7 linked regions of the Ovis aries genome follow. The protein of the gene in region 1 interacts with the protein of each later gene in a biochemical or structural test. Links are inferred from orthologs where the notes say so. Each region holds a gene or a part of one and is shown in the gene's direction. Other genes may lie near its edges. The genes, in order: RB1, DNMT1, CASP3, CCNE1, USP4, MCM7 and MRPS18B.

The links.
Region 2: the proteins of RB1 (region 1) and DNMT1 form a complex in vitro, tested with the Homo sapiens proteins (2 studies listed by BioGRID). The link is inferred for Ovis aries from reciprocal best matches to the Homo sapiens genes RB1 and DNMT1.
Region 3: of the proteins of RB1 (region 1) and CASP3, one has a biochemical effect on the other in vitro, tested with the Homo sapiens proteins (2 studies listed by BioGRID). The link is inferred for Ovis aries from reciprocal best matches to the Homo sapiens genes RB1 and CASP3.
Region 4: of the proteins of RB1 (region 1) and CCNE1, one has a biochemical effect on the other in vitro, tested with the Homo sapiens proteins (9 studies listed by BioGRID). The link is inferred for Ovis aries from reciprocal best matches to the Homo sapiens genes RB1 and CCNE1.
Region 5: the proteins of RB1 (region 1) and USP4 form a complex in vitro, tested with the Homo sapiens proteins (2 studies listed by BioGRID). The link is inferred for Ovis aries from reciprocal best matches to the Homo sapiens genes RB1 and USP4.
Region 6: the proteins of RB1 (region 1) and MCM7 form a complex in vitro, tested with the Homo sapiens proteins (2 studies listed by BioGRID). The link is inferred for Ovis aries from reciprocal best matches to the Homo sapiens genes RB1 and MCM7.
Region 7: the proteins of RB1 (region 1) and MRPS18B form a complex in vitro, tested with the Homo sapiens proteins (2 studies listed by BioGRID and IntAct). The link is inferred for Ovis aries from reciprocal best matches to the Homo sapiens genes RB1 and MRPS18B.

What each region holds. Positions count from the first base shown.
Region 1 is NC_056063.1:18,457,788-18,462,229, forward strand, and holds the start of RB1 (retinoblastoma-associated protein), read left to right. Parts: upstream 1-1,562; 5' UTR 1,563-1,764; coding exon 1,765-1,892; intron 1,893-4,442. UniProt on the Homo sapiens protein: Tumor suppressor that is a key regulator of the G1/S transition of the cell cycle. The hypophosphorylated form binds transcription regulators of the E2F family, preventing transcription of E2F-responsive genes.
Region 2 is NC_056058.1:12,547,809-12,551,520, reverse strand, and holds part of DNMT1 (DNA (cytosine-5)-methyltransferase 1), read left to right. Parts: coding exon 1-193; intron 194-1,054; coding exon 1,055-1,247; intron 1,248-2,129; coding exon 2,130-2,214; intron 2,215-2,408; coding exon 2,409-2,537; intron 2,538-2,694; coding exon 2,695-2,977; intron 2,978-3,298; coding exon 3,299-3,440; intron 3,441-3,712. UniProt on the Homo sapiens protein: Methylates CpG residues. Preferentially methylates hemimethylated DNA. Associates with DNA replication sites in S phase maintaining the methylation pattern in the newly synthesized strand, that is essential for epigenetic inheritance.
Region 3 is NC_056079.1:14,236,074-14,239,503, reverse strand, and holds part of CASP3 (caspase-3), read left to right. Parts: intron 1-1,242; coding exon 1,243-1,371; intron 1,372-1,688; coding exon 1,689-1,864; intron 1,865-2,207; coding exon 2,208-2,328; intron 2,329-3,430. UniProt on the Homo sapiens protein: Thiol protease that acts as a major effector caspase involved in the execution phase of apoptosis. Following cleavage and activation by initiator caspases (CASP8, CASP9 and/or CASP10), mediates execution of apoptosis by catalyzing cleavage of many proteins.
Region 4 is NC_056067.1:39,910,979-39,915,139, forward strand, and holds the start of CCNE1 (G1/S-specific cyclin-E1), read left to right. Parts: upstream 1-1,292; 5' UTR 1,293-1,497; intron 1,498-1,965; 5' UTR 1,966-1,994; coding exon 1,995-2,014; intron 2,015-2,121; coding exon 2,122-2,209; intron 2,210-2,437; coding exon 2,438-2,506; intron 2,507-4,161. UniProt on the Homo sapiens protein: Essential for the control of the cell cycle at the G1/S (start) transition.
Region 5 is NC_056072.1:50,827,459-50,831,170, forward strand, and holds part of USP4 (ubiquitin carboxyl-terminal hydrolase 4), read left to right. Parts: intron 1-1,219; coding exon 1,220-1,360; intron 1,361-2,262; coding exon 2,263-2,380; intron 2,381-3,525; coding exon 3,526-3,699; intron 3,700-3,712.
Region 6 is NC_056077.1:36,785,523-36,789,781, forward strand, and holds the start of MCM7 (DNA replication licensing factor MCM7), read left to right. Parts: upstream 1-1,275; 5' UTR 1,276-1,373; coding exon 1,374-1,404; intron 1,405-1,870; exon of another isoform or gene 1,871-2,307; intron 2,308-2,550; exon of another isoform or gene 2,551-2,590; coding exon 2,591-2,670; exon of another isoform or gene 2,671-2,991; intron 2,992-3,085; exon of another isoform or gene 3,086-3,198; coding exon 3,199-3,363; exon of another isoform or gene 3,364-3,533; coding exon 3,534-3,658; exon of another isoform or gene 3,659-3,732; coding exon 3,733-3,913; exon of another isoform or gene 3,914-4,203; coding exon 4,204-4,259. Other genes in the region: AP4M1 (AP-4 complex subunit mu-1), read right to left, coding at 32-128, 216-322, 708-796, 899-956. UniProt on the Homo sapiens protein: Acts as a component of the MCM2-7 complex (MCM complex) which is the replicative helicase essential for 'once per cell cycle' DNA replication initiation and elongation in eukaryotic cells.
Region 7 is NC_056073.1:27,485,953-27,490,135, reverse strand, and holds the start of MRPS18B (small ribosomal subunit protein mS40), read left to right. Parts: upstream 1-1,313; 5' UTR 1,314-1,336; coding exon 1,337-1,414; intron 1,415-2,733; coding exon 2,734-2,842; intron 2,843-3,113; coding exon 3,114-3,211; intron 3,212-3,338; coding exon 3,339-3,407; intron 3,408-4,183.

The sequences.
Region 1 (4,442 bases):
ATGATAATCCATTGTATGGCCCACAGGGATAAACCCAAGAGCTACCACTTGCCTGAAGGCATTGGCTGCCTCAGCCCTGCTCAGCTGTTCCAAGGATGAGGGAATTCACGTCAGAACACAGCTGTATTTTATTCATAGCACCTCAGTTGGGAAGCTCCTAGCGGGCAACCCACAGCATCTGCCAGTGATACAAAAGCAGATACTCAAACTAGGCAATCTATTAGCATAAGTAAATACCAAGAGACAGGAGACACAGTTTCTAAGTCAATGTTTGGCCATAGTAATTCCTGCAAACTCTTTTCTGGTGTCTTTGTGCCTTGCACATGCTATTTCTCTCTTCTTGGTGTTTTCTTTAACACAACGTATTGGCTCAGACGGTAAAGCGTCTGTCTACAACGCGGGAGCCCTGGGTTCGATCCCTGGGTTGGGAAGATCCTCTGGAAAAGGAAATGGCAATCCACTCCAGTACTATTGCCTGGAAAATCCCATGGACAGAGGAGCCTGGTAGGCTACAGTCCATGGGGTTGCAAAGAGTCGGACACGACTGAGCGACTTCACTTCACTAATGGATAAGTAGAGTCACATATATCTCAGTTCAAAACCTCTACCACCCATCGGCTGTGTGTGTTTGTGTGTGTGTGTGTGTGTGTGTAAGTAACTCAGTCGTATCTGATTCTTTGCGACCCCATGGACTATAGCCTGTCAGTCCATGGAATTCTCCAGGCCAGAATACTGGAGTACTGGGCAAATGAATTAACTCCTCTGAGCCTGTCTTCCCTATCCAAAGTGTAATACGACTACAACTCATTTTAAAGGGCTGTTTCTGAGGATTCGGTAAGATAATGAGATAAAATGGCCAGAACAATCCCCTGTGCACATAGTAAGTCCTCCTTAGATGTGAAGTCCGTCTGGCAAACTTCTACTCAAATGCCCCTGCTCCTCTGAAGATGTCCTTAAGGCGTTTCGATGGTGCTTCCTGGTTTTACGCTACTATTAAAACCGCGCAGCACCTTGTCATCAGTTCTTTGCCCGCAGCCCCCACCCCTCTTCCCTCAAAGAACTCTCAAAAGGCCAGTTTCGTCGTCCCGTACTTGGTCTCCGCTGGTAGTGGGCAAAACCCAGCTCCTCATAGGTGTCCCAGAGGCAGTTTGTTTTTGTTTTGGCTGACTTCGCTTAACGGATTGGGCGGGAGGAGCGCGGGCGAGCGGGAGGGCGCCGCCCACGGAGGAGAGGGGCGTGCCCGCCCCGGGTGCGCTCGCCCGATACTCCCCGGCGGGGGCCTCGGCCGCAGCCCCGGACCCACCCGGCTATAGCGAGGGAGCCCGCGCGCACCCACCGGGCCGGGTAGCGCCCTTACCCGGCCACCCACGCCCGCAGGGGCGAGTTTCGAGGCGAGGCAGGCTGAGGCGGCGGCGGCGGCCGCTGCCTCCGGGCGGGCGCCTGGGTTGCAGGCCCGGGGCTGCCCGCCCGCCCGGCGCGCGCCTCGCCTCGCCTCGCCCAGCACCCCGGTGCCCTCCCGACGCCGGCGGGCCCGCGAGCCTCGCGGACGTGACGCCGCGGGCGGAAGTGACGTTTTCCCGCGGTTGGACGCGGCGCTCGGTTGCCGGGCGGGGGAGGGCCGGCCCGGTTTTTTTCTCAGGGGAACGTTCAAATTATTTTTGTAACGGGAGTCGGCCGAGGACGGGGCGTGCCCGAGGTGCGCGCGTCCTCTCCCTTCTCCGGCCCCACTCCAGCACCCGCCGGCGCCTGCCCTGCGAGCGCGTCATGCCGCCCAAAACCCCCCGGAGAGCAGCCGCCGCCGCCGCCGCCGCCGCGGAGCCCCCGCCGCCGCCGCCGCCCCCTGAGGAGGACCCCGAGCAGGACAGCGGCTCCGAGGACCTGCCTCTGGCCAGGTGAGCGGGCCGAGCCACCGGCGGCGGGCGGCGAGCGGGGAGGGCGCCCCGAGGCTGCGTCGGCGGCAGCCGCGGCGTCTAGGCGGGGGCGCGTCCCCGCGGGGCGCCGGTCCCGGCGGGAGGACGGTCCCCCCTCTACCACCCCTCGCGGCGGAGCGCCGGGAGGGAGCTGACAGGGGTCTGGGTGCGGGCGCCGCCTGGGAAGGGCGGCCGGGAGGGGGGTCTCGGCTCCAGCTTGACAGGTGTCGGGCGGGTGGGGCTCGGGTCGCTGAGCGAAGTGACAGGTGCCGCCTTTGCTCCGCGAGACGGCCCTGCGCATCCGGCGGGTGTTTCGAGACCCCATCACACGCAAAAGAGGAAAAAAAGAAAAGAACTAACTGGTGTTTGCTGGATAGGTTTTTTTCCCCGTTGAGATTTGTAGTCCTCCAGTGGTCTTTTGACTTTCTCTTTTGGTCTCTAGCGATGCAACAGTTGGAAGTGCCCCCCTCCCCCCACCGCCCCCGGGCGCGCAGCTGTATCTGAAGCCCAGTCCTGGGAGAGACAGTCAGAAAAGCCTTGGGTGCAGCGGCAGAGATGCCCGCGGACGTGAAGGGCAGGGTCCTGGGTGTCGGTTACCCCCCAGGAAGCTCGGCTGAGGCGCCTTGTGGCGTTCTCTTAGAAGGGGCTTTTCGGTCTTGGGGATTCATGGCCATAGGTAGTGACTGGTGGAACGTAACTCTTTAGAAAGAACTCGTACCTGGGCAAAAATATTGTGAGACGTTTAGCCCAAGAGCTTAAAAGTTCCTGAACTTTTCTCTTGTTTTCTAGAACTCTTCTTGCGTATTTTCGTTGGCTTCAGCGTGCCTCGTTATTTCTTCCATTTTGCCTTTCGGCTTTGAGCCAGCAAGGATCCTGGTGTCCTTGTTTTTTTTTGTTTTGTTTTGTTTTGTTTCGTTTGTTGGAGTACAAAACGAGTGTTTTTGTGCTCACGTGGAATTATTTTTCTTCTCGTAAGTGGATTCTAAATTTTAAGCAAGTCTACGATAATGCAGTGGAACTTTGACAGGAAGATAATGTATTGCAACATCTTATTTTTCTTGATTGTGATGCTTTATGGTTAGAACCAAAAATTGAACGAGTATAATTATCCATTATTATTGTCAGAGTTGGCCCTGCTTTGAGACTGCACATCAATTACAGGGAAATGGGACTCCTTTCTGTCTCCCTCCCACAGTCCTAGCCCATCAGCAGGCCCTATTTCTCTCACCTTCCCCTGCGCTAAGAGAATTCGGGACAAATTGTTAAAGATTGGGAAAAGCTTTTGGAAATGGCTTGTGAAAGGCTATTAGAAATTCATATATGACTGTCTTATCAATTAAAAATCATTCTCACTAGTGGGAAAAAAAAAGAAAGCCCAGGGATGTTCTAGGAGAAGACATTAGTTTCTGATTAAACTCTGATATGTCCAGTATTTTCCAGTTTCCTTTTGGTAAGAGCAGTGAAGTCTACTGCAAAGAACCCTGTGTTATCCACAGAGCTCGGAAGCATTCTTGAATATTGTGGAGTAACCAGAAATACTGAAGTTCTGGCCAGCACCTGGGAAAAGAAAGTCTTTTTTCCTTCTATTTTCCAGCATTTCATTTTATATACTTTAAATGATGAAACTATCACAAATTCTTTAAGTCAGAACCATGCAAGATAAAGTCTGTTCTTGATCTATCCTTACCCATAAAATGTGTCCTTATGGGCTATCAAACTACTGGTTAACTACTTAACAAAGATAGAACCACTGCCTGGCAGTCTGAAGCTGAGAACTTTACCTGGGGTGGGTTCAGGGCCCAGTCCAATTGCATTTCCAGTGATGGAGCCCATGCCTACTTTGAGAGTTGAGAGTTTACTTAAGGGAAACAGCACACCATCTTCATTCTTGAGATAACCAAAAGTTAATTATGTTTCAGAGAAGGGTTGGCAGTCTGGAATAGTGCTCAAGGGCAAGGATTATAGAGTTAGATTATTGGGTTTCTATCAGGGTTTCTGACATACTGTTTGTGATTTCAAGTGAGTGCTTTAACTTCTCTGATTTGGTATTTATCTGTAAAACAGGGTAAGAGGACTTACCTAATAGGCTGATGTGGGGATTCAGTCTACCTTCATCTAAGGTACTTTGTCTGGGATCATAATAAATACTAAAAAATTATTAGCGATTCCTTGTACTATTATTATTAGAGGTCAAGTAGACATTAACTGATTGAAAAAGAATTAGCCAAGAAGAGTTTTTTGTCTGCCTGTCTTGGTTAAGGAAAATCAGAAAGAAAGCTTGAATTTAATCATCATCTAAGAACTACTAGTAAGTAGATTAAATAAAACACTGTGAAGGGTAGACTGCATTTTAGCAAAAGTTAATGATATTGAATTGGTTTTGTAATATTATCTATTGCTTTCCTCTTGCTGTTAACCAACCCAACTTTCCCAGTTTTAGCTCTTGTACTTACTTTAAGCTACTTTGCTGCTCTGAAGTATGTGATTCACCAGACCAGCAAACATTTTTCACTGTGTGGTATTACCATTCTG
Region 2 (3,712 bases), on another chromosome or scaffold:
CCCGGAAGGAGCCTGTGGACGAAGCTCTGTATCCAGAGCACTACCGGAAGTACTCCGACTACATCAAGGGCAGCAACCTGGATGCCCCCGAGCCCTACCGTGTTGGCCGCATAAAGGAGATCTTCTGCAGCAAGAAGAGCAACGGCCGGCCCAATGAGACAGACATCAAGATCAGGGTCAACAAGTTCTACAGGTTGGTGAGGGCTCTGCCCTCCAGGGGCCTCTGCCTGAGTCATGGGAGGTAGTGAATCGCACACACAGTGGTGGTCTAAGGGGTGGAGGAGGTAGTCCTCCCAGGTGTTCCTGACTACCTGGTGGGTGCTGAGGATCACTACAACTGTGTAACACAGCCCTGGATTCCTGTCTTAGAGCTGCAGAGCTTTGTCCAAAAGAGATCAGTGAGCGAGGTCCAGAGTGCGACCAAGGCAGGCATGGCATATCCTGGGCTCTGTCTGAGGCGCCATCAAAACCCTGATATCTGTTTAAGTTGCCCTTGTGTTCCGCCCCTCCCTACTGCCAGTCCTCCTGTCCTTTCCAGGCCTTCTTCTCCGTTTCTGGGGTTTCTCTCTGTCCCAAGGTCTTGGCTTCACTGAGTTTTGGGGATCCTGATAGTACTTAGGAGCTTAAACTGAAGCTGATCCATACAGATAAGTCTACAGTTGCTCCACTTCTTAGCTAACATACAGGAAAGTTTTTCTGAAGTCTTTGAAGTAACAGGTACTAAGAGAACAAGGAATCTGGCAGGCATAGGGGGAGGAAGGCAGCTCTAGACATGCTTCTCAATAGGAGGTCGGCACCTGGTCTCAACCCAGGCCCACCCAGTCTTCTTGGAGGCATAAAGAGCAAGCAAACCCTTAGTTGAGATCACAGTAAGAAATCCCACTTAGTTTGTGGTGTTTAGTGCCGACTAAGGGGGTTAGTAATCAAGGTGACTTAGTGAGGCATGGGGCCTAGTCTTTACCCTCTGATCCTATGAGCACATCCCCAGGAATATGCCGTTTAATTCATTTTCAGCTTGCGACAAATGAACTAACAAAGACTCTTGCACTCCCAGGCCGGAGAACACACACAAGTCTACCCCAGCCAGTTACCATGCAGACATCAACCTGCTCTACTGGAGCGATGAGGAGGCCGTGGTGGACTTCAAGGCCGTGCAGGGCCGCTGCACTGTGGAGTACGGAGAGGACCTGCCTGAGTGCCTCCAGGACTTCTCTGCTGGTGGCCCCGATCGCTTCTACTTTCTCGAGGTGGGGCCCTGGGCTCACTGCAGGGAGGGCCTCTGGGTCAGACACAGCGCCCGAGAAGTTTACTTACCCAGAGCATGAGTCTGTGACACTCACGTTGATCTGGAATTTAACACTTAAAGCAAAATGAAATATTTTAACATCCTCATGCAATAACTCAGACCTCCCTGGTGGTTCAGACGGTAAAGAATTCACCTGGAATGTGGAAAACCTGGGTTCAAACCGTAGGTTGGGAAGAGTCCCTGAAGAAGGGAATGGCAACCCACTGCAGTATTCCTGCCTGGAGAATTCCATAGACAGAGAAGTCTGGCGAGCTACAGTCCATGGCATTGCAAAGAGCTGGACACAACTGAGCGACTAACACACACACACACACACAAATAACAATTTTTGTAGACTGTTAGGTGGCCTCTGCTGGTCTGGCCAGTGTCTATGAGTTAGGAAAATGGACCTCTAGGCCCAGGAGATGAATCCCTGCCCCCAGTCCCTTCAGCCTCATAGCTGAGCTTGTGGCCTGGTTATTGAGAGAGAGAAGAGCCAGGAGTCTGTTGATTTAAGCTAATCACTTTAAAATTGTTTGAGCACAGCTTCTTTGTGACAGGCATGTATGGTCTTAAGATAACCCGTGTCTCCCCCAGGTTCTGGTGCCTATTTTCAGAATGAGTAGTCCAGGTACTTAAAATAGCAGGAATTTCTGTCAGGCAGGTAAAACATTTTTATTAATAGACTTTTCCCCTTTTCTCTATTAGAATCAAAGCCCTCTTGGCTTCTGGCCATACTTAGGAAGAAATGAAGTATATTCTTATCAAATTAACTTAAATCCTATTTGTTAGAGAAGGGAACTGATGTTTCTCTTCCAGACCGCTGTGGTTCTTTCCCCCTCAGGCCTATAACGCCAAGAGCAAAAGCTTTGAAGATCCTCCGAACCACGCCCGGAGCCATGGAAATAAAGGGAAGGGGAAGGGGAAAGGTATGTCGTGGTGTGCCATTCCCCCAGGTTCCTCTTCAAGTCTGTGTCCTCTAGCTCGGATACTCATGAGTCAATCAGTATGGAAGAGCAACCTCTGATGTTACCTCCTCAAAACGAGGTGGACTCTGAGTCACCAGGGGCTTTGAGGAGGGCCCATCAGGACCCTGCTCTGACTTGGGGTCCATCTCCTGCAGGAAAAAACAGGACGAAATCTCAGACGTGTGAGCCGAGTGAACTGGAGACAGAAATCAAACTGCCAAAGCTGCGGACCCTGGACGTGTTTTCCGGCTGTGGGGGACTGTCAGAAGGCTTCCACCAAGCAGGTACGCTCCGGGGGCGGGTCTCTCCACACAACCTGTTAAAAACTGGATCAGGCAGGCTGTGTCTGGAAGACCTCTGTGGCCCTGGCCACAGTTCGGACTAGAGAGTCTCTTTCTGAGGAGTTCATGACACGTCTGTGTCCTTGTATCCCCCACCTAGGCATCTCGGAGACACTTTGGGCCATCGAGATGTGGGACCCTGCGGCCCAGGCGTTCCGGCTCAACAACCCTGGGTCCACGGTGTTCACAGAGGACTGCAACGTCCTGCTGAAGCTGGTCATGGCTGGGGAGGTGACCAACTCCCGCGGCCAGAAGCTGCCTCAGAAGGGAGACGTGGAGATGCTGTGTGGTGGGCCGCCCTGCCAGGGCTTCAGTGGCATGAACCGCTTCAACTCTCGAACCTACTCGAAGTTCAAGAACTCCCTGGTGGTCTCCTTCCTCAGGTAAACAGAGCTAAAGCCCCTCTGCGTTCAGTGCCATCCAAGGGCAACTAGATGGCCTGCCCTTGTGCTGCAATGCCTGGTGCCAGGGCCAAGCAGTCACCGCTTTAGCCTTCGCTCCTACAGAAGGCCGCTGCTGAGCGAGGCACCACTCTCAGCCTTCAGGGAGTTCACGGCTCCCTCTCCACTAGGGAGAGACCCTGAGAGCCGGCAGGTTTGTCTTGACAAGCGTCAAAGCAGTTGGGAGTGACTTCTGGCCAAGGAGGCCGCCTTGCTCTCTCCAGGCGTGGGGCTGACTCTCTCGGTCACTCCTGTCCCCCACAGCTACTGTGACTACTACCGGCCCCGCTACTTCCTCTTGGAGAACGTTCGAAACTTCGTCTCCTTCAAGCGCTCCATGGTCCTGAAGCTGACGCTGCGCTGCCTGGTCCGCATGGGCTACCAGTGCACCTTCGGCGTGCTGCAGGTGCGCCCAGGTCGGGGGCAGGCGGGGGCAGGCGGGCGCACGCAGAGGCCAGAGGCGGGGGCAGCCATCCCTGGGCAGGGGCAGACGGGCGCACGCAGAGGCCAGAGGCGGGGGCAGCCATCCCTGGGCAGGGGCAGACGGGCGCACGCAGAGGCCAGAGGCGGGGGCAGCCATCCCTGGGCAGGGGCAGAGGGGCGCACGCAGAGGCCAGAGGCGGGGGCAGCCATCCCTGGGCAGGGGCAGAGGGGCGCACGCAGAGGCCAGAGGCGGGG
Region 3 (3,430 bases), on another chromosome or scaffold:
AATAATTTGGAGCTGGAAACATCTAGTTGTTTGGGTTTTTTTTTCATATGTGTTGCTGTTGCTGCTGCTAAGTCACTTCAGTAGTGTCCGACTCTTTGCAACCCCATAGACAGCAGCCCACCAGGCTCTGCTGTCAATGGGACTCTCCAGGCAAGAACACTGGAGTGGGTTGCCATTTCCTTCTCCAATGCATGAAAGTGAAAAGTGAAAGTGAAGTCGCTCAGTCGTGTCAGACTCTTAGCAACCCCATGGGCTGCAGCCTACCAGGCTCCTCCACCCATGGGATTTTCCAGGCAAGAGTACTGGAGTGGGGTGCCATTGCCTCCTCCATATATGTTAAGTTTATCTGAGTGCCTTCCCCCTGCTATGCCTAATACTTTAGATTTTTAAATCTGAGGGCATTGTTCAGTCAGTCCATACATGCATGTGGAAGGTGCTCTAAGGGATGAAGAAAGTCCAGGACTACGGGGTACAGGCCACACAGCAGCTGCAGAGCCTTGTTCGAGTTCTGCTGGACTCTTCTTGCTGTGGGTCCCACATCTCTGCAGATGAAGCCGGTCATGATCATGGTTTCATGGTCGTCGGAAGGCTTAGACGCTTTTGAACAGTGTTAATGTGGCCTAGTGGTTTATGGGGTTTTTTTTGTTTCCCCCAAAAAGATACGATGAAACTACTGATGTATCTTAGAATTGTTGAAAACTTAGAATCAAAGAAATAGTTGCTCTGAGTGTGTGAGGTGTGTGTTGATATATACGTCTGTGTATGGTGATGTGTATGTGTTTGTGTATGTTTATGTGTGTGTGTATAATTTTTTCTTAAAAGTAGGATCCTTTTATTTTCTACTCTTTTTTTTTTCTTTTAATAATAGTGACCATTTTCCTATGGCAAAATTTTGTCTACAAAATTTCAGTGGCAACATAATATCCCATATTATAAATGAATTGTAATTTATTTAACCAAACCTCTCTTTTTAGGCATTTAAGTCATTTGTTTATCACTATCTAAGCAGCTGTGAAAAACATCTTTGTGACTGTAACAGAGAACACAGATAACAGATTATATCATGAAGTGTCTTGTATACGAAGAAATGAAAGCGACTTAGTGTCACCACTGTCAGAATATTGAATTTCCTTAGCATTTGAAAGGAAGAGTTTCTTGTGGATTGTGTGGATCCCTGAATAGTTCATTTCAAAGCAGTTTATCTTTTTTTTTCATGCAATTAAAAGTAGCTTTCTGTTCAAGGCATGGCCTGTCGGTCCGGTACAGACGTGGATGCAGCAAACCTCAGGGAAACCTTCACGAGCTTGAAATACGAAGTCAGGATTAAAAACGATCTTACACGTAAAGAAATGTTGGAATTAATGAGCGACGGTAAGAAATAATGAAAAGAATGACCTTCATTTCCAATGTATGTACAATCTAGCTATAACCTACATGAAAGTAAAGCATGAGAATTGTGAAACTAAAGAGTACACAGCCCTACTCTGTACATTTTATGTAAGTCCGAGTTATTCATACCGACTCCCTAGAGTAGTCTGAGGTGTGTTGCTCTGCTGCTCTGCCCCAAGCTGGGCTTACACGATCTCTTAGTTCAGTTCTCAGATTTCTTCATCTTACTCCCATACAGTACATATGAAATTGTTGAATAAAATTGCATTGGTTTTTTTTGCCTATAAATGTTTTTCCAGTTTCTAAGGAAGACCATAGCAAAAGGAGCAGTTTTATTTGCGTGCTTCTAAGCCATGGTGAAGAAGGAATCATTTTTGGAACCAATGGACCCGTCGATCTGAAAAAATTAGCAAGTTTCTTCAGAGGGGACTGTTGCAGAAGTCTGACTGGAAAACCCAAACTTTTCATTATTCAGGTAATAGATAACTGAGCGATTTGGTTATTGAGGCTTCTTTAGGGATTAATTTACTCCATTGTGGATTATCCAAAGGATTTTTAATTTTTTTTTTCCTTGAAGCTACTAAACTATTGCTACTTTTTTATTTATTTAAACCACTGCTTAGGAGACATAGCATAAACTTTAATTTTTAGACTTCTAGCAAAATGATTCTTAATAATTAACATCAGTTTTTATAGAGCCTTTGCATTTCTTAGGGATAAGTTACACATTTATGCATGTACACACATTTTTTTCCAATAAATGTTTCTTTTCTTTTTTTTTCTAATTTTTAAATAGGTGTTTATTTTCTAACCTCTAGGCCTGCCGAGGCACAGAACTGGACTGTGGTATTGAGACAGACAGTGGTTCTGAGGACGACATGGCCTGTCAGAAAATACCAGTTGAGGCAGACTTCTTGTATGCATATTCTACAGCACCTGGTAAGAAACTTACAGATACTGAAATAGGTAGATTTTAAACACTGAAGAGTGTGTTCCAAAGGCTATAGGGATTTTGATATCCATAAAAAGCCACTGTGTCTTGTTTTAGGGTGCCCTAACCACGGAGAAGTCTCAAAAAGTTGTCTTTAGCCCAGTTTGGCTAGAAAATGTGCCTGTGTAAGAAAGCACATTTGCACAGTGTCATTCATGAACTTGACACCACCTGGAATCCATATTATAATACAGGCCAAGTCAGAGCTTCGCCCACTTCCTAAAATAGGAGAGAGGTGTGTTTTCCAGGAATTCTTTGGGAGCTAGGAAACTGAAAGGATAAACATGAATAGCATATCAGTGGGTAGAAGTGGAACAAGAGAAAATAAGGTTAAAAATGATTTATGGCTAGGTTATCAACCTGCGCTTTGTCTCTGGTTGTATTACACGTTATGTGTGTGAGCGCTTGTCATCATATAAATTAATATATATTGATCATGGACTTGTTTACTCATACAACTAACTCAGGGTGTGTTTGGAAATACAGGGCAAGTGTATTTTTAAACAGTATAACATTTTTAAATATAGTTGATATGATTTATTTTAACCTCCAGGCATCTTTCCAGTTCAGATTAAAAGCAGTGGATCCAGGGACTTCCCGGTAATCCAGTGGTTAAGACTTGGTGCTTTCACTACTGTGGGCCCGGGTTCCATTCCCAGGTCCAGGAATTAGGTCCCCCAAGCCACTCAACGTGGCCAAAAACACAGCAATGAATCCACTAGTTTATCTGGGAAAATAACGATAAATACACTATTTCCCCTTTTTGGACTTTTGAATATGCTATAATGTGTTTATTATACTCCATTCTTTCCCTGTAGACAAATTTAAGACCCTCAAATGTATGTGCGTACATAAGCAGGTTGTTGGATAAGCCAATCATCTCACTGCAACACCATGCTACTTATAATGATCCTTTTTTATTTCTTTGCTTTTGCATTTTCTGCCTATAAACCTGTTCTTCCCTATTGGAAGGGAAGCCCAGGAAGTAGAATTCTCACTCAGTGGTGCAGTTAGCCTGCAATTGTTTTCCTTGTCAGAAGCAGAGGTATA
Region 4 (4,161 bases), on another chromosome or scaffold:
ACTTGTCTCCTTAGCCTGTAAAATCCACAAGGGCTTGGTCACCATGTGTTCCAAGCATTCCTTCACAAGTAAGATTGAAGTGCCTCCCTTCCTCCAGGCACTATGCCAAGAGCTGGGGGATACAGCAGTGAACAAGACAGACAAGGCAGGGAGAAGAGAACCAAACACGGACAAGAAACATATGGCAGCAAGTGCTGTGCAGGAGCCACAGCAGGGCAATGTGGTGGAGAGGAACTCCTGGGGAAGACCTGGAAATTCTCAGGAAAGATGTAGCTGGAAGGAGCCGGAGCTAGGGACAACAAAATCCAAGGTCCCGAGATAAGAAAGGACAGAGGATGGCCAGAGGAGCTCTGATGGGAGGCAGTTGAAGGAAAGGTCTGAGAGGGGGTGAGGGTAGGTCCACGTGGAGTTCTGTAGGGCATGGAGTGTGGCTTTGATGCTTAAGGTAAAGAGGGCCGCATGGAATCCCAGCATCAAAGAGGTCTTCCGATGCTCAGGGGAAAATCTATGGCGAAAGGCACACATGGAAGGTAAAGGTGCTAGAGTATTAGCTGAATGAGCATGGACAGATGGATGGACGCACGTCCAGGAGTAACAGCTGTTCCACAGGCGGCCCCGATCTGGCGGCCTGAAGCCCTGGTTCTAGGCTCTGTGACCATGCGCTGTGACCTTGGGCACATCCCACCCTGACTCAGGGCCCGGAAACCTGCGTCTCGGGGGCGGAGGAGACGTGCAAGGAGAGACAGTGCGCGCGCGCTGCAGGCCTACGGACGTCAGGTCTAGTGGCCCGACCCCTCAGTCGGGGACCGAAGCCTCGCCGCCCGCCGTGTTTACATTCCACCAGCGCCGGCCACGCGGCTTTTTGCCGCTCCAGCGCCGCTCGGCTCCGCCCCCAGAGCCCCGCGACCCGCCCCTCCGCCGCACTCCCGCCAGACCTCCCCCGCGTCCCGGCCTGCGCAGCCCCGCCCCACCGCGCGCGCCGGCCGGCCCCCGCGTCCCGCCCCGCGCGGGCTCCGCAGCTTGGGCGGTGCAGGCCCCGCCACGGCCCCAGGGCCCCTCCCCTCCGGCGCGCAGGCCCTGTCACTTAGCCCCGCCCCGCGCTGGCCCCGCCCCGGGCGGGCCGGAGCGCCTGGGCGGGCCTGCGCCGCGCAGGGCGGTCCTGAGGGCGGTGGCTGGGCGGGGCCGAGCCCTCTGGCTGCCGCTGAGGGGCTCCGAGCCGGCCGGGGCGGAGCGGAGGGTGGCGGGAGGGCGCGGGGGCGGTCCGGGGGCCGGTTCCGCGCGCTGGGATTTTTAAATGTCCCGCTCTTAGCCGGGCGCAGGAGCAGCCGGCCCGGCCGCCAGCGCGGTGTAGGGGGCAGGCGCGGATCCCGCCACCGCCGCGCGCTCGGCCCGCCGCCGTCTCCCGCCTCCTGGCTTCCCGCTCGCCTCTGCCTCCTGCCTCCAGCCTCGGCTCGTGCCGCCTGCCTGCCTGCCTGCCTGCCGCGGAGACGGCTTCGGGTGAGGACCCTGCCTCGGGCTGCCGGACTGCGCGGCGGGCGAGAACTCCTGGAGCGCCCGGGTCGGGTCGGGCCGGGCCCGGGTGGGGGTGGGGCGAGGCCGGGTCGCCGGGTCCCCGGAGGCGTCAGCGCGGGGTGCCCCGGTAGGGCGACTCAGAAGCGGGCTCCGGGGAGGTGTTGAGGGGAAGACTGAGGCAGCTGGGGGTCCCCAGGGAGGCAATGGGCCGGCGAGAGTTTCAGGGGGCGTTGAGGCCCCCCCACCCACCCTGGGTTCCGACCCGGCGTCGCGGGCCGCTGGTGGCGCCGCGGGTGACAGGCCACCCCGGGCCCATCGGCCATTTTCCCGACCGGCCCGGGAGGCTCCCGCCGCCGCCGCCCGCGCGGGAGGGGGAGGGGTGCTCGGGACGGGCCGGCGGGCCCTGGACCCCTCTGCTGCCGTCCTCACCCCACTGCCGTTTCGTGCCCCCAGGCTTGAGGTCTGATCCTGCGCCCAACGCCATGCCGAGGGAAAAGGAGAGGTGAGTGGCCTGGCCGTTGCGGGAAAGGGGAAGGTGTGCGGTGGTGGGGGAGGGGTGGGCCGAGATTTGGGTAGAACTCTTACCTCTGTGCCATCCTGGTTTTGCAGGGATGCGAAGGAACCGGATACCATGAAAGAGGAAAGTGGCACCGATGTCTCTGTTCGCTCCAGGAAAAGAAAGGCAAATGTAGCCGTTGTGAGTACAAAGGAGACAGGTGGGGGAGGATGCCCCCCCCCCAATCTTAACTGGGTACCAGAATGGGTTCTACCCATGTATTTGTTGATAAGGGATCAAGAGTGGGGAGCTTTTGGCAGAAATGGTGATCATAACCTTACTAGCTTTCTTTTTCTTCTCTGTGTCTGTGTTTTTGTCTTTGGGCTGTTTGGTGTGTTTCCTTGGGGTATGGGGGTTGTTTTATGTTAGTTTTTGCAGGATCCAGATGAAGAAATTGCCAAAATTGACAAGACTGTGAGAAGCCAGTGTGGCAGTCAGGTAGGTACATTTTCTGATTGGGTCGAAGTTGAGGCTCCCCTTGTTTGGGGTCACATTGAGTCTCATACTTGCTTGCCTCCTGCTGAAGGCTTTTTCTCCAACTATGGCCACAGTTCATATAACTGAGCACTGTGCCTGTCAGTGGGCACTGACCTCTGCCAGTCTTGGGATTCCAGGAAGGACTGTGTTCCTGACTGACATCCCTGAGATTACAAATATGCGCTGATGTCTGGAAGAACCAGAATGAACCTCACATAACTCAGTCCTCTCCTTTTGCCCTTGAGGAAACTGAGATTCAGTTAGAGGAGGAAAGTAACCCAGAGTCCTGTGCAAGCCAGGGGCGGAGTCTGTCCTATAGCCTAGGCTGTAGGCTAGTGAACTGTGGGAGGGCTCCTGACACACAGCTCTCTTCGGGTAACTGTGATGATGGGGGTTTGTGTGTGTTCATAAGCAACTTCTCCCCATCCACACTTGTGTTTATTTCCTCATGGTGCTTAAGGACTTCCCTTTCCTGCTCCCACCCCCTTCAGGTCATGTTTCAAACTTTTTCCCCCTTTTTGATGGTTCTTCTAGCCTCTTCAGCAATTACGTACAGTGATAACTGCTGCCTGGAGTTTGATCTGACCTCCACCAGAGTATTAGTAAGACATTCTGTGTAATGATACGTGCATCTCAACACATTTTTAAAACTGACTAGTCAGTCCATTTCTCTTGCCCCTCCTTCGTGGAGTTCCCGCCATATTTCTTGCATGTTCACGGTACCATCATAATATCAGAAGTCCCTAGCCCAAAAAGCTTGTATTATCTCTCTGCCTCCAGAAATGGCTGGAGACTGTAGTTATGGCCCCAGTAGGGGAAGCAGTCTATCTCCAAACTAACTGATTAGGCTTTCTGACACTGTAACAGATAAAAACTGAGCAGGAATAGTATTTGAGCCAAGGAAAGTGGTTCTGATGAGGTTAGCAGTGGCAGCACATCACTTTGTAGGACAGTGAGCAACGGCCATAGCGGCTGGGTCTGGAAGAGTGAAGGTCTTCAAAGCTGTGGGACACATGGTAAAGCTGTTATTGCACACAAGACCCTAGTAATTACCATTTCTGGGGAGATTCTACTTAATATTGAACAACAGCTTGATGGTTTACTTGCTGTATTAGAAGAAGAGATACTTTGTTTTAGGAAAAGAAATAAGACAGTGCATTTCAAATTCTTTCTTTTTTTTTCTTTTATTCTCCCTGTAAAGACTTCAAACCAAGAAAGTTAATTTTTGTGGGTCTCTACTAAAATGAATCTCAGCTTTGTGAAATTCAAGATTGGTTGTCTTCCTAGCTATGTTTTGAATTGGAATTTTTAACTGAGGCTGAAGCAAAGCTGTCCTTGTTGACTTCTTGGGGTTTTAGAGTAGTTTCAGTTCCAGAGATAACTGGAGCGGAGCCTGGAGTGCCTAAGACAGGGCTTTGGCCCTGTCCCTGGACTGCAGAGAGCTGATAGATGTGATATGTGAATAGCCATATTACTTCCCACTAGAAGGCATTTTCATGGTTCAGAGATTAATGACAACAGGTTTCTACACATTGTCTAAAGTAGATAGCTTGAAATTACCCATCATTTATGAAGCAGTCAGTGTCATATGTTATTTCTCTGTAGATTCATGAAGC
Region 5 (3,712 bases), on another chromosome or scaffold:
CAGCCTTGTGTAGCGACTTGTCTGCATAGGAGGTTGGGCATTCTGGCAGCACCCGGGACAGGCCTTAGATGTTTGTTGAAGTCCCCTGTGTGCCACAAGAGTGTGTCCCTTGGCTCTGCCAAGCCTCACTTAAGGAGCTGCCATAGTTGTTGGACTTCTCTGCAGCATGAAGATGAGGCTCAGTGAAGCAAATGCTCTTCAGGATTAGAGAAGGTACATTTCTGTGGGTGGTTGAGAGCCTGGGGAGCCCTCTTTCCCTCTCCCTTGCTGTGACTTCAGAGTGTGAAGCAGAACTCAGTTTCTGACACCCACTGAGGCCCCTAAATAGTCCCTGACATCTCCCTACAGTGTGGGTACAGGCTCGCTCATCTTTATTGCCACACCCTACTTTCTTCTCACAGGGAGCCCTGGTTGACATCGGATCCCATGAGGCTGGGCACTCTGCAGGGACAACACTTAATTATTTTCTCTATTCTAAAAATAACTCCCAATCTGGAAGGAAAATCACCATTGTATGTATTTGAAACATGGAAACATTGCAACATTGCGGATAACTCATTTCCTTCTACCTGTCTTAAGTGGATTTTGGTAGAAAACTTGATAAAATTGTTGTCAATTTAAGATTTGGGGCAATTAGCACTTGAGTTAATTAGTCCAAAATTAGGAATGAATCTTAAAATAAGACACTGAAAAATACTGAAACAAAAGTTTGAAACAGGAAACATTTTCACTTTGGTAAATTTCAGGAAACAAAAGCAGTTGCCTGGAATAGCATAGTGATACTAAGTTGCCATTTTCATGTTCTGGTATACTTAGAGCCATCTGTTTAATTCGGGTCTAGTGTTTTGAGATAATTCATCTCATCACCATTTTTCTTTTTCTTTCACTGGTAAGTCTTAAAATTCAGGGAAGCTGATGATTTATCAATCAAACCAGGATGCCCTGAAGGTCAGCCTTGTGGTTGGGTTATCTCACTGGAAGATTCAGTGTAGGACCATGTGGATGAATGAGACAGGAAGACCAATTAATTTCTTTACTCTCATGCCAATAAAAATTTAAGTTGAAGTAGCGTGAAAACGGGCTGTTTGCAATTAATTTTAAATAACTGAATATGGAGAACATGTGTTTCTTGAGAAGACACCTTCTTCTCAAGCAAGCCTTAAAGAGGGCTTGCTTCTGTGCACAAAGTCAGTAGCATTGTTTGTCTTCTCTCTCCCAGATCAAGCACTGCGCCTAGCAGAAATTTTACTACCTCTCCAAAATCATCAGCAAGTCCCTATTCCTCAGTATCTGCCTCTCCCATTGCAAATGGTGATAGCACTAACACCTCGGGGATGCACAGCTCCAGTGTCAGCAGGGGGTAAGAGCAGGTTCTTTCATTTTGCTTCCTTTCCCGCCGAGTCCTCTCCTGGGCCCTCCCTGACAGCTCCTCTGCTGCTGCCCTGAGCACATGCAGGACTCGGGTTCCCCATGAGAGCCCGCTGCACGTGGCTTCTCCTTCCATTTCATCCCCCCAGTAAAGAGTGCCTCCCAGTACGTTGCTTGTCTTCCTACCAGCTGGTGTTTTCCCATCACTGCATTTGTCTGTGAAGGGATAGGCTGGCCTTTTGGCAGAATGGCTATCGGGGTGACTGTCAGCTGCGGCGGGGGTGGGGCATGGACTGCCTGCTTCTCCTCTGTGTGGCTGGGATCCTTCTTCCAGGTGTGTCAGAGCACCTGCCATAGAGCGCAGATAGAGTGGTAGAGGAAGGTGAGGTGAGAGAGTGCACGCACACTCAGGCACTGCCAAGAGCAAGCGTAGCCGGGTGGGTGGTGGCAGGTGCAGGCTTCCATCCTGGTAACCACAGTGCTCTTCCCCAAAGTCACCTGGCAGTTAGCCCTCTGGAAGGATATAGAATTAGCATTTGCCAAAGCCTTTGCGACCCCGTGGACTGTAGCCCACTAAGCGCCTCTGTCCATGGGATTTCCAAAGCAAGAGTACTGGAGTGGATTGCCATTTCTTTCTCCATAACAAAGCTAGAGAGCAGAGGATTCAAACAGCCTCTCTTCTTTTCCCCTTAAGGATGTGCTTACCACCTATTACCGTGTCAGGTCAAGGCGGGGTTGAGGGAGCTGGAGGGCTGGGGAGGGGAGTAAAGAGAATTTGTATCATGGGGTCATTATCAAGTGAGAATTCTAGAGGCCCAGGTGAAGCCCCAAGACGCATCTTGAGGGCATGTGAGCAGCACTCACTTGATTGCTGGTGTGGGTTGTGTTTTCCAGTGGATCTGGCTTCTCTGCTTCGTATAATTGTCAGGAGTCCCCATTGACTCACGTCCAACCTGGGCTCTGCGGACTTGGAAACCTGGGGAACACCTGCTTCATGAACTCTGCTTTGCAGGTAGGGGGGAGAGCTGCCATCTCAGTTAACATCGTGTCTCCACGGTACTTGAGGCTGGGGTGGGAGTGGCCTCTGCTGTGTCGGGAGGATCCTCTCCAGGGTCCCTAACAACCCGTGGTTAGTGCTTCAGGAATCTCTGCCAGTGCATAGCCACTGGGTGGTACAGAATGGCCTCATCAGTGTTCCTGGCTTCAAAATGTCTTCTCAGTTTGGTTTGGTTTTATAATGAAAACATTTTGAGTTTTGTTGACCCTTAGAGAATGATCTCAAAAAGTACTGGAATACATGCCTGGTTGGTCTCTAATGGGATGAGATCTCAGAGCAGCTGGTACCGTGCCACTGTATTCTTGCCTGAGGCTGACCATCTTCACCAGTGAGCTGTCTCACTCAGCTCTTGCCTATTGAAACTTTATTTATTCATCCACCAAATATTTATTGGGCGCATACTGTGTAATGGGATTGTTGAGATCATGGGCTGGAGTTAAAGTCCAGCTACAAAGTTAAGAGGGCACAGTCCCTAATAACTGCCTTCATTTCTGACACCATTGCAAGTTTGGGGGTCCCTACAGATGACCCTCAGTTTGTTAGTTTGCTCAAACTCATAGACTTCACTTGAAAGTAATTCTCCTTACAGTTACAGTGTATTATGGGAAAAGGATACAGGTTACTATCTCACAACTATAGAGGCAAGTACTGTAGATAAAATTTTAGCAGATCAAAATCAGTGAGGTCCAAGTAAAAGTAACACATAACAAGCGGGGGTGGGGGGGGGTTGTGCTAGGAAAACCAGACTGTTTTAAACAGCTGAAAAATTAAGCATGTCTGTAAATACACTGACAGAGTGAAGGAATAAACTGTGATCAGGCACTTGGGATCAGCGGCCTCTGCCCTCAGCTTGTGTTGGAATCGGTTCTTAGGCGGTGAGCTTATCTCAAGACAGTGTTCCTGGAAGGTTCACCACTATGTGGCCACCAGCCCTGGCCTTTGAGAGACTGTGCCTTCCTGTTGTGAGCCCTCCCGAGAATCTGAAGGGAGTGACCTTCATTTTGTTGGAGTGACCTTCACTGTTCATTTAGAACTGGGTTTTTCCTGTGTGTCTGTGTGCTTTCCAGAAGGCGTGTGAGCTGTGATCATTTCTCTTTCAGTGCTTAAGCAACACAGCACCGTTGACCGACTACTTTCTCAAAGATGAATACGAAGCCGAAATCAACAGGGACAACCCCCTGGGAATGAAAGGGGAAATCGCAGAGGCCTACGCAGAGCTCATTAAGCAGATGTGGTCCGGCAGGGATGCTCACGTGGCACCTCGCATGTTCAAAGTAGGTTGATATG
Region 6 (4,259 bases), on another chromosome or scaffold:
TCAGGGAAGCGGGGACAGGGAGGAACCTCACCAGCACTTCATCCAGGAGTTCGTAGACCAGAGCCACGTTGCGAGAGATGGTCGCCTCCCCTAGGGAGCCACAGTAATCACCCAGAAGAGTGGCCAGCCTGCGAAAACCCAGACAGAGGGTGCATAACTCCTCCTCTCTGACTCCCTGACCCCTGCACCCGGGTGCCCAGCCCTGCCCTCCTCACCGGGAGAGCAGCTCCAGGAGGCTGAAGGGAGAAATGTTTTCTGAAGTAGTGGCCACCAAATAGAGACCGCTGTGTCTGATGTGAATAAAGTGACGATCATCGTGGTGCTGAGGCATAGGCACGGAGAAAAACGTTAGGAAGAAAGCTGCAGTGATTCCTGGCCATGAGACTGAGGCTGGTATCCTGATTTCCCTACTTACTAGCAGCGTGACTTTAGGCCACATACGAAACCTCCCCAAGGCCCAGCTTCCTAATGTGTAAATGAAGTTAGTAATAGTACCTACTCCAAAGTGGCTGAGGATTGAAACGTGTGAAGAGCTGCGCCTGGTGCAGTTAGCGATCAGTAAACCGCCATTAATATTATTTAGAAGAATGTACCCCCTTCCACACCGCGTATGAGCTCTTAGAGAACGTTCCTGGAGGAGGCGCCTCCCAACCCCAGACCACCAACCGCATACCCACCACCCCACCCCCACTCCCGCCAGTGGTTACCATGACAACCGGAGACTCGTCTCCAGGCAGTCCCGTCAGCTTCCGGTAGAAGAGCTCGGCCACATCCCGGCCGCCGCTGTCTCCGCGGACTGACCGAGTGGAAGGAAAGCTAAGGAGCTGGCGACACTCGCTGGCACTGGGGCTCTAGTCCCACGCAGCCCTTCTCCCCCCGCCCCGCTGGCCAAGGATACAGTCCTTGTAGATGAGCGGGTCCCCCTTGGAGGACAGAATGAAGAACTGGGAAATCATGGCCGTTCTGGAGAATAGACTAGGAGACAGCAAACGTTGGGCCTGCCCCGCCCTGCGGCCCCGGAACAAAAGGACGCGAGTAGCCTGGCCCTTTAAGAGCGATTCTCCTCCGACCGCGGGAAACCCGGCGCGCGCCCCGCCTCGCCCAGGCCTTCCCTCCAAACACCCGCGCCTCTTCCCCGTCACTCAGCCCAGGTTCGCCCGTTGATTGGCCCAGGCTGGGGCCCGCGGCCAGCGGGAGGGACGAAGGGCATCCTCTCCGATTGGCCCGCAAGCGGCGGCGCTGGTCACGTGGGGGGCGACGTTTCGCGCCAATTTCGGTTGGTCGGCCGCAGTCCGCCGCGCGGGCGTTTTTTTGCTGGCCGGGGAGTGAGAGCTCAGAGCCCGCCAATTGCTGCCTTTCGGTCCTCGGCAGCAATGGCACTTAAGGACTACGTGCTCGAGAAAGGTGAGAGTCTGCGAGTGTAGGAGGGGCGTTCTGCGCGGGAAGCTTCCTGGGCGACACCTGTTGGTGTGGGCTGGAGTCCCGGGGGGCCGGGCTCTCGGCGCGCGAGGCCGGAGGCAGGGTAGGGAGGTGGCGGAGTAGAGGCGCATGGTGCCTGAGGTGCGCACGGGCCGCCGAGGCCGGGGGAGAGCTGGTGATCGTGTCGAGGAAAAGAGTGAGAGTCATGGGGAGGGGATGCGGACACCCGAGCTGGAAGCTCCAGAGGGAAGGGTCGCGTCTAGGAAAGAGCAGGCCCTCAGGGGCCTATCTAACCAGCACCCCCCGGTCCCGCTTTTCTCCGCGCGCTTAGGCACTCCCAGCGCCCACGACGCGCCGAAGCCCGGGGTAGGGTGGGGCGGGCGGTCCCGGGCCGCTGCGCGCGGGGATTGGGCCGCATTAGGTCCACCTCCTAGCGGAAGTGGAGGCGGGCGGAAGTTGCGCGACGCTGTTGGAGGGAGTGTCGTGTGTAAACAGTGTCCTTCCGCGCGGTGGCCTCGGAGAGAGCGACCGAGGGTGGGGGCGTGCCTGGAATTGGAGGGGTTTCTGCGGAGGCCGAGGGATGAAGTGGTCGGGTGGGGCAGGGTGGCCCTCGACGAGCCGGCCAATCGCCGGACGGGCTCCCTCCTCGGGCGGAGGAATCCCGGGCTGTGAGGCGGCGGCATCTGGGCCCATGTGCTTCTTTGTTTACTAAGAGCGGAAGCAGTGGCGGGAGAGGGGGTGGGGCGGAGGAAGGGCCTGGTGGCGGAGATCCCCGGGAGAGCAACAATTTAAGGGACCGAAAGAAAGGGGGAATAAAGCACGTAAAAGGAAAGCTGAGAACCGTGAGACTTGAGTGTGTTGCCGTGTGTGGAAGGCCCTTAGAAAAGGGTACTGAGATTTCTAATTAAGGCAGAGAGTGGAATTCCCCTGGGGGGAGCGTATTGGGTAATACTCTAAACTGCTAGGGGCCACTTATTCTTCCTTAAGTCAACACAGACTTGGGAAAAGGAGTTTTGCTCTGTTGGGGAGAATTACGTAGGTCTATTTGAATGTTCATTTAATTTGTTTAAAGATTTCACTTTAAACAAAAGTAAGTTTTTTAGATCTCTATCAAGGGTTTGCAGTAAGGTATATGAAAAAAAGTCCGTCCTGACTTTATTTTTCTTTACAGAAAAAGTGAAGAAGTTCCTACAAGAGTTTTACCAGGATGACGAATCTGGCAAGAAGCAGTTCAAGTATGGGAACCAGTTGGTGAGTCTAAGGTTAGGTAGAGGGAAGGGGTGGTGACGAGCTATAAGGCCTGGCTTGTTTTAGCAGGTATGTCTTTCTGGAAGTGGTGAGTTTAGCACCATACCTGATACTTGTGTATCACTGTGCTGCGTCTGTGCTCAGTCTAATTCTTGGCGACCCTATGACTAGCCTACGAGGCTTTTCTGTCCATGGAATTTTCCAGGCAAGAATACTGGAGCAGGTTGCCATATCCTTCCCCAGGGAATCTTCCCGACCCAGGGATTAAAGCCATGTCTCTTGTGTCTCCTGCGCTGGTGGGCGAATTCTTGGCCACTGTGCCACCTGGGAGAAAGCAAAGTGAGACTCGACAGGACTCAGTTTCAGCTTCCTCAATCCCTGAAAACACCTTGATTATTGCAAACGTAGTGATACACACCTTTCTCCCTTGTGGAGCCTGGATCCTGTGTGCTGAGCTCGTAATGACCAATTTTTGCTTGTGAACACTGGTAAGATAAACTTGGCTCCGCTGCTTTCTCTTCCCCACCCCAGGTTCAACTGGCTCATCGGGAGCAAGTGGCCATGTACGTAGACCTAGATGACATTGCTGAGGATGACCCTGAGCTGGTGGACTCAATTTGTGAGAACACCAAGCGCTATGCCAGGCTCTTTGCTGATGCTGTTCAAGAGCTGCTGCCTCAATACAAGGAGAGGGAGGTGAGAAAAATGCAGGGCACACAACTTGGGTTTGTGTTGAGAAACTTCCTGGGTACTGATGCTCTCCGAGCTGACCCAAAGGAGTCAGTGGTTTCTGCCTGGCACTCTTACGTTCTTTCCTTTCACCATTCTGCCGCTCACTTTTCCTGTTTTCCTTTCTTTTCCTTTAGGTAGTAAATAAAGACGTCCTGGATGTTTACATTGAGCACCGGCTAATGATGGAGCAGCGGAGCCGCGACCCGGGGGCAGCCCGAAGCCCTCAAAACCAGTACCCTCCTGAGCTCATGCGCAGATTGTGAGTGACCACGGTAGGGACGGGCATGGGGTTCAGGTCCCCAGACCCTTGCTAATGACCACTTTCTCCATTAGTGAGCTGTATTTTCAAGGCCCCAGCAGTAACAAGCCTCGTGTGATCCGGGAAGTACGGGCTGACTCTGTGGGGAAGCTAGTAACAGTGCGTGGAATTGTCACTCGTGTCTCTGAGGTCAAACCAAGAATGGTGGTGGCCACTTACACTTGCGACCAGTGCGGGGCGGAAACCTACCAGCCGGTATGTGTGGAGCAGAGAACGGGAACACACTTAATTCTGTGAGAATGAGTTTCGCCTCCTGGTGTTTATCTGGTGCCTTTTCTGTTTCCTGTGTGGTCACTTTTCGGTTTCTCTCTACGGTGGAGTGGTCTTTCCACCCAGTCTGTTCTCTTTGTGTCTGTTGATGTGTACCTTGCACGGCTTAAGACAGTCCCAAAGGTTTCATCGTCTCTGCCGGAGGAGGGGCGTGGCTCCTGTGACTGAGGGCTCCTTCCTCGTGACTTTCTCTGGTGCTTCCCTTTCCACTCTAGATCCAATCTCCTACCTTCATGCCTCTGATCATGTGCCCGAGCCAGGAGTGCCAGAC
Region 7 (4,183 bases), on another chromosome or scaffold:
ACAACCAACCAGGACCCAAAACTCAATTATTTGGGGGGCCTCATTGGATCAAAAAATCTCTTTAGAAAAAATAAAGGCCAACTCAGTATTCATTTCCCCCCCACCCAACTCCATTTAGGGAGGGGGGTCGTAGAAAAAAAGTTCTGAGTGGATTAAAAAAAAGTAAACGCTGGATGAGTGGACTTGGGTGAGTTTGGGAAGGGTGGGTGGTTGATTATTTTTGAAGTTATGTGGTGACGGTCCTTCGGCCACAGATTTCAAGTCCCAGGCAGCGTGGGCTGGTGGGGTGGGCAAGATAGGTGGGAAGGGGCAGAAGACACAAGTGGTTGGGCTGGTGGCTGCTCTTTTCCCTTTCCCCCCTCTCTCTGGATCCTTTCAAGGGCTTAGATGTTGCTGTGCTGCGGCTTGTTTCTTTTCTCCTGGTGGCCGGCCTGTCTTTCTCCGAGAAAATTCAAACCTGGGATAAAAGGAACACAAGGGAGAAAGATGTAATCAGTACGGGCTGCTATTAAAACACCCAAAAGTACCATTTTTGTTGTCCCCAAACACTTCCATGTCCCACCCCGAATACAGCCGCTTAATACGAATCATGGCTCTCAACTGAGCCCGCGTTTGACCCGTTCCCCAGGCCAACTCTCCGAGCAAAATTTTACCCACCAACCGACAAAATGGCAACACTTACCTCTAAACGAACCCCAGAATGGCGGCTGCCCGCTCGGGCGGAGTCTTTTATACGAGGACACCGCCCAACGCGCCCAAACGTGCTAGTGAAACGCCCCCTTCGCGAGACAATTTGCGCGAGGCGTGAATTCATTGGTCAACCAGGGAAACCACTCACCAGCTGATTGGATATCCGGCCTTAACCTTCGCTCAGCCCCTTCCCCCGGGCACCTTCTTCCGCCTCCTTCCTTGGTTGGGGGTGGGGGCCCTAACGCGTGCGCGTGACCAAGCAGCCTAGTACCTCCCTTTCCTCTGCTTCCACCACTTCCGCCCTCGAGAACATTTCTCAACAAGGGTTGGTAGAATCGGCCCGGCGCATGCGCAATGAAAGGATCAGGGTCAAAAGCGACTTCAAAATTGCTTAAAACACAGACTCTAAGAATGAGAGTGAAAAGTCATAGTGACTGGTTCAGCAAAAACGCAATTTTAAGGCCGAATTCGATTGTGACGCAGTTGAAATTGCCCTCTCCCTACGCCCGCCCCTCACGCTTCCGTCCTGACGCAGACGCGCGTCCGCCTTCCGCACTGCGGGGTCGTCCTTGGCCCCACCCTACTCTGGTTCCTGGAACATGCGCAGTCTCGTTTGCGGACGTGCCTGCTTTGCGGGTACGTCAAGATGGCTGCCTCCATATTGAACGTGTTGCTGAGGCGCCTTCCTAACATTTCGCCCTTCAGAGGTGCCTACGGAGTTCAGGTAACTCCTTGGGGCACATTTTGTACAACCTCAGATTTGGTTGTACTTTCTCTAGGTCGTCGCTCCACTGCCAGGGATCCTGGAGCGGAGAGCTTCCCAAGTGCTTGTACATTGGCTGTCAAGGAAACGCTCTGCTTCCCCCATCCTCCCCCTTCCCCTCTCATTCCTCAGCACAGCGCGTTTTCTAATCTTGAGACAAGGGTAAAGAGCCAGGGTTGGATGTCATTCTCTTCCCAGCTTTCCATCTCGGCCGGATATTTAGGCGATGGAATGTGGACCCCTTGGCCAAACACAAACCAACTGTTAACTGTATGGTGGTGTCTAAATCTTTGATGCCCAAGGGTGTCATTGGGTTTTGAGGGACACTAACTACTACCAGCCCGGCTATCGCTCAATAAAGCCAGAATACATTCTCACGACCAGGGGACCAGTTTCTCGGCTCTTTATCTCACTAAATCAGTTTCTTCCTAAAGCATACATGGGAGCATAACTACTTTGGATGGAGGTTTCCCCTCAGTCACACGTACTCACCACCCTGGAGATTCTTGATGGGGCAGCGTGATATTGGAGGGCTTGCCCATCTGCCACTCCCTAAAGTGAGACTGAAGAGTGATGAGAGGGGCTACCACAGAGTTAATTATAGACTTGGTAGCTTGGGACATAGCGTTAGGACTCACGTTTGTTCTGCCATATGGAATGTTGACCATCAACTTTTTATAAGACCGGGCAACTCAGTGATTCAGGATTCAGTTGAGTTGGGAGACTCACCTGTCCTTTACATCCTTTTCGTAGCACACATCTTGACTCCAAGAAGATAGACATTCTCCCTTTTTTCTCCATTACCCTGAGTTCATCTCAGGAAGCACAGAAACCTTATGTGTGCCAGGTTTTTGAGTTGTATTTTCAAATACATTTGCTTCCCAGTCACCTATCCTAGTTATCTTCTAATGTTACCTTTTTTTGCAAGATCCAGCTGGAGGCAGGGATACCGGTTGTTGATGGTGTAGATTTAATAAACCAGTCAGTTCTTGTGCTTGAACTCAGTGTCTCGTTTTCCCTCTGTTGTTCAGTCGTTCAGTTGTGTCTGACTCTGCGACACCATGGACTGTAGCACACCAGGCTTCGCTTCGCTCTCCTTCACTGTCTCCTGGAGCTTGCTCAAACCTATATCCATTGAGTTGGTGATGCCATCCAACCATTTCTGCTCTGCCCCTCCTTTAATAGGTTCCCCTCTGTTGCTGACGGTGTAAGTTTAATAAACCAATCATGTTGTGTCCTTGAACTCTTGTCTCATTTTCTCTCTGCCCCTTCTTTTATAGGTTCCCCTCCAGACTCTTTGCACCAAAGCCCCCCCTGAGGATGATTCTCTGCCCCCAATTCCTGTTTCCCCTTATGAGGATGAACCCTGGAAATACCTGGACTCGGAAGGTACTTGTTTATTTTTTTAATATTTATTACTTATTTGGCTGTGCCAGGTCGTGGCTGCAGCATGTGGGATCTAGTTCCCTGACCAGCAATCCAACCCAGGCCCCCTGCATTGGGAACGCATGATCTTAACCACTTGCCTAGACCACCAGGGAAGTCCCTAGAAGGTACCTCTAAATGGACAAGAGGCGCGTCAAGTGAGGTCTGAAATAAGTGGACAGAGACAGCTCACCACCATCACCCAGGAGTAGCTTGTATGGTCTTTTCATTTCAGAATACCACAACCGCTATGGTTCTCGCCCTGTCTGGGCTGACTACCGTCGAAACCACAAAGGTGGAATACCCCCACAGCGGACTCGAAAGATGTGTATCGTGAGTTTCTGAGGATGGCACATGGATGGGATGTGGAGTGGGGCTGAAGGCCATAGTGACAGAGGCAGCAGTACGTTCTCTGACAGGGCTTTGAACGTCTTCACCTGCCTGTTACTTTTCTCTACAGCGTGGAAATAAAGTTGCTGGGAACCCCTGCCCCATCTGCCGGGATCAGAAGCTGCATGTCGACTTTAGGGTAAGGAGAATCTTGTCTTCAGTATAAAAACTTAAAGCCTCTTTGCAGTACTAAAAGAGATTACCTTAGGTGCCCCATTCTTCATATCCTGGGCCCCTACAATCCATTTTGCATTGACTTTCTGGCAATGTGAAAACGTTACTCTTTTCAGCTTTTAGTATTTACTTACTGATGGCTGTGTTGGGTCTTAGCGGCAGCACACGGGCTCTTCACTGTGGCGAGGGCGTCTCTCTACTGGAGACAAATGGACTTAGTTGCCCCGAGGCATGTGGTATCTTAGATTAAACCCTAGTCCCCTTCTTCGGAAGGTAGATTCTTAACCACTGGACCACCAGAGAAGTCCCTCCTTCCAGACTTTTGCCTTCTACTGTGGGTTATATATAAAAGATTCATCTCTTACTTATGAAGTTTACAGTCTAAATCGGCAAGAGAAATGCTCATTTCTAATGAGAGGGAAATGCCCAAAGTTTCATTTGTATCAATCAGTTACTTCCAGATAGATTGGACTAGTTTTTTCCTGAGATTTTCTTTATTTTGTTGTCATTGATGTTTGATTGCATGTTAAGACTTGGGCTGGGAGGGCAGATACACGAAACAGTGTCTAATCTAGTTATTAAAAAAAAAAACAACCTTCATTTTGAGGAGGAGAGGACTTGTTTCTTGAAGGATTCAGAAACTATAAAGATGACAGTGGAAATGTGCCCTTCTGCATTTGCAGTATTAGAAGATGGTAGAGCAGAAACTGGCTGGTCATCAGGGAAGTTGGAGGGCATTCA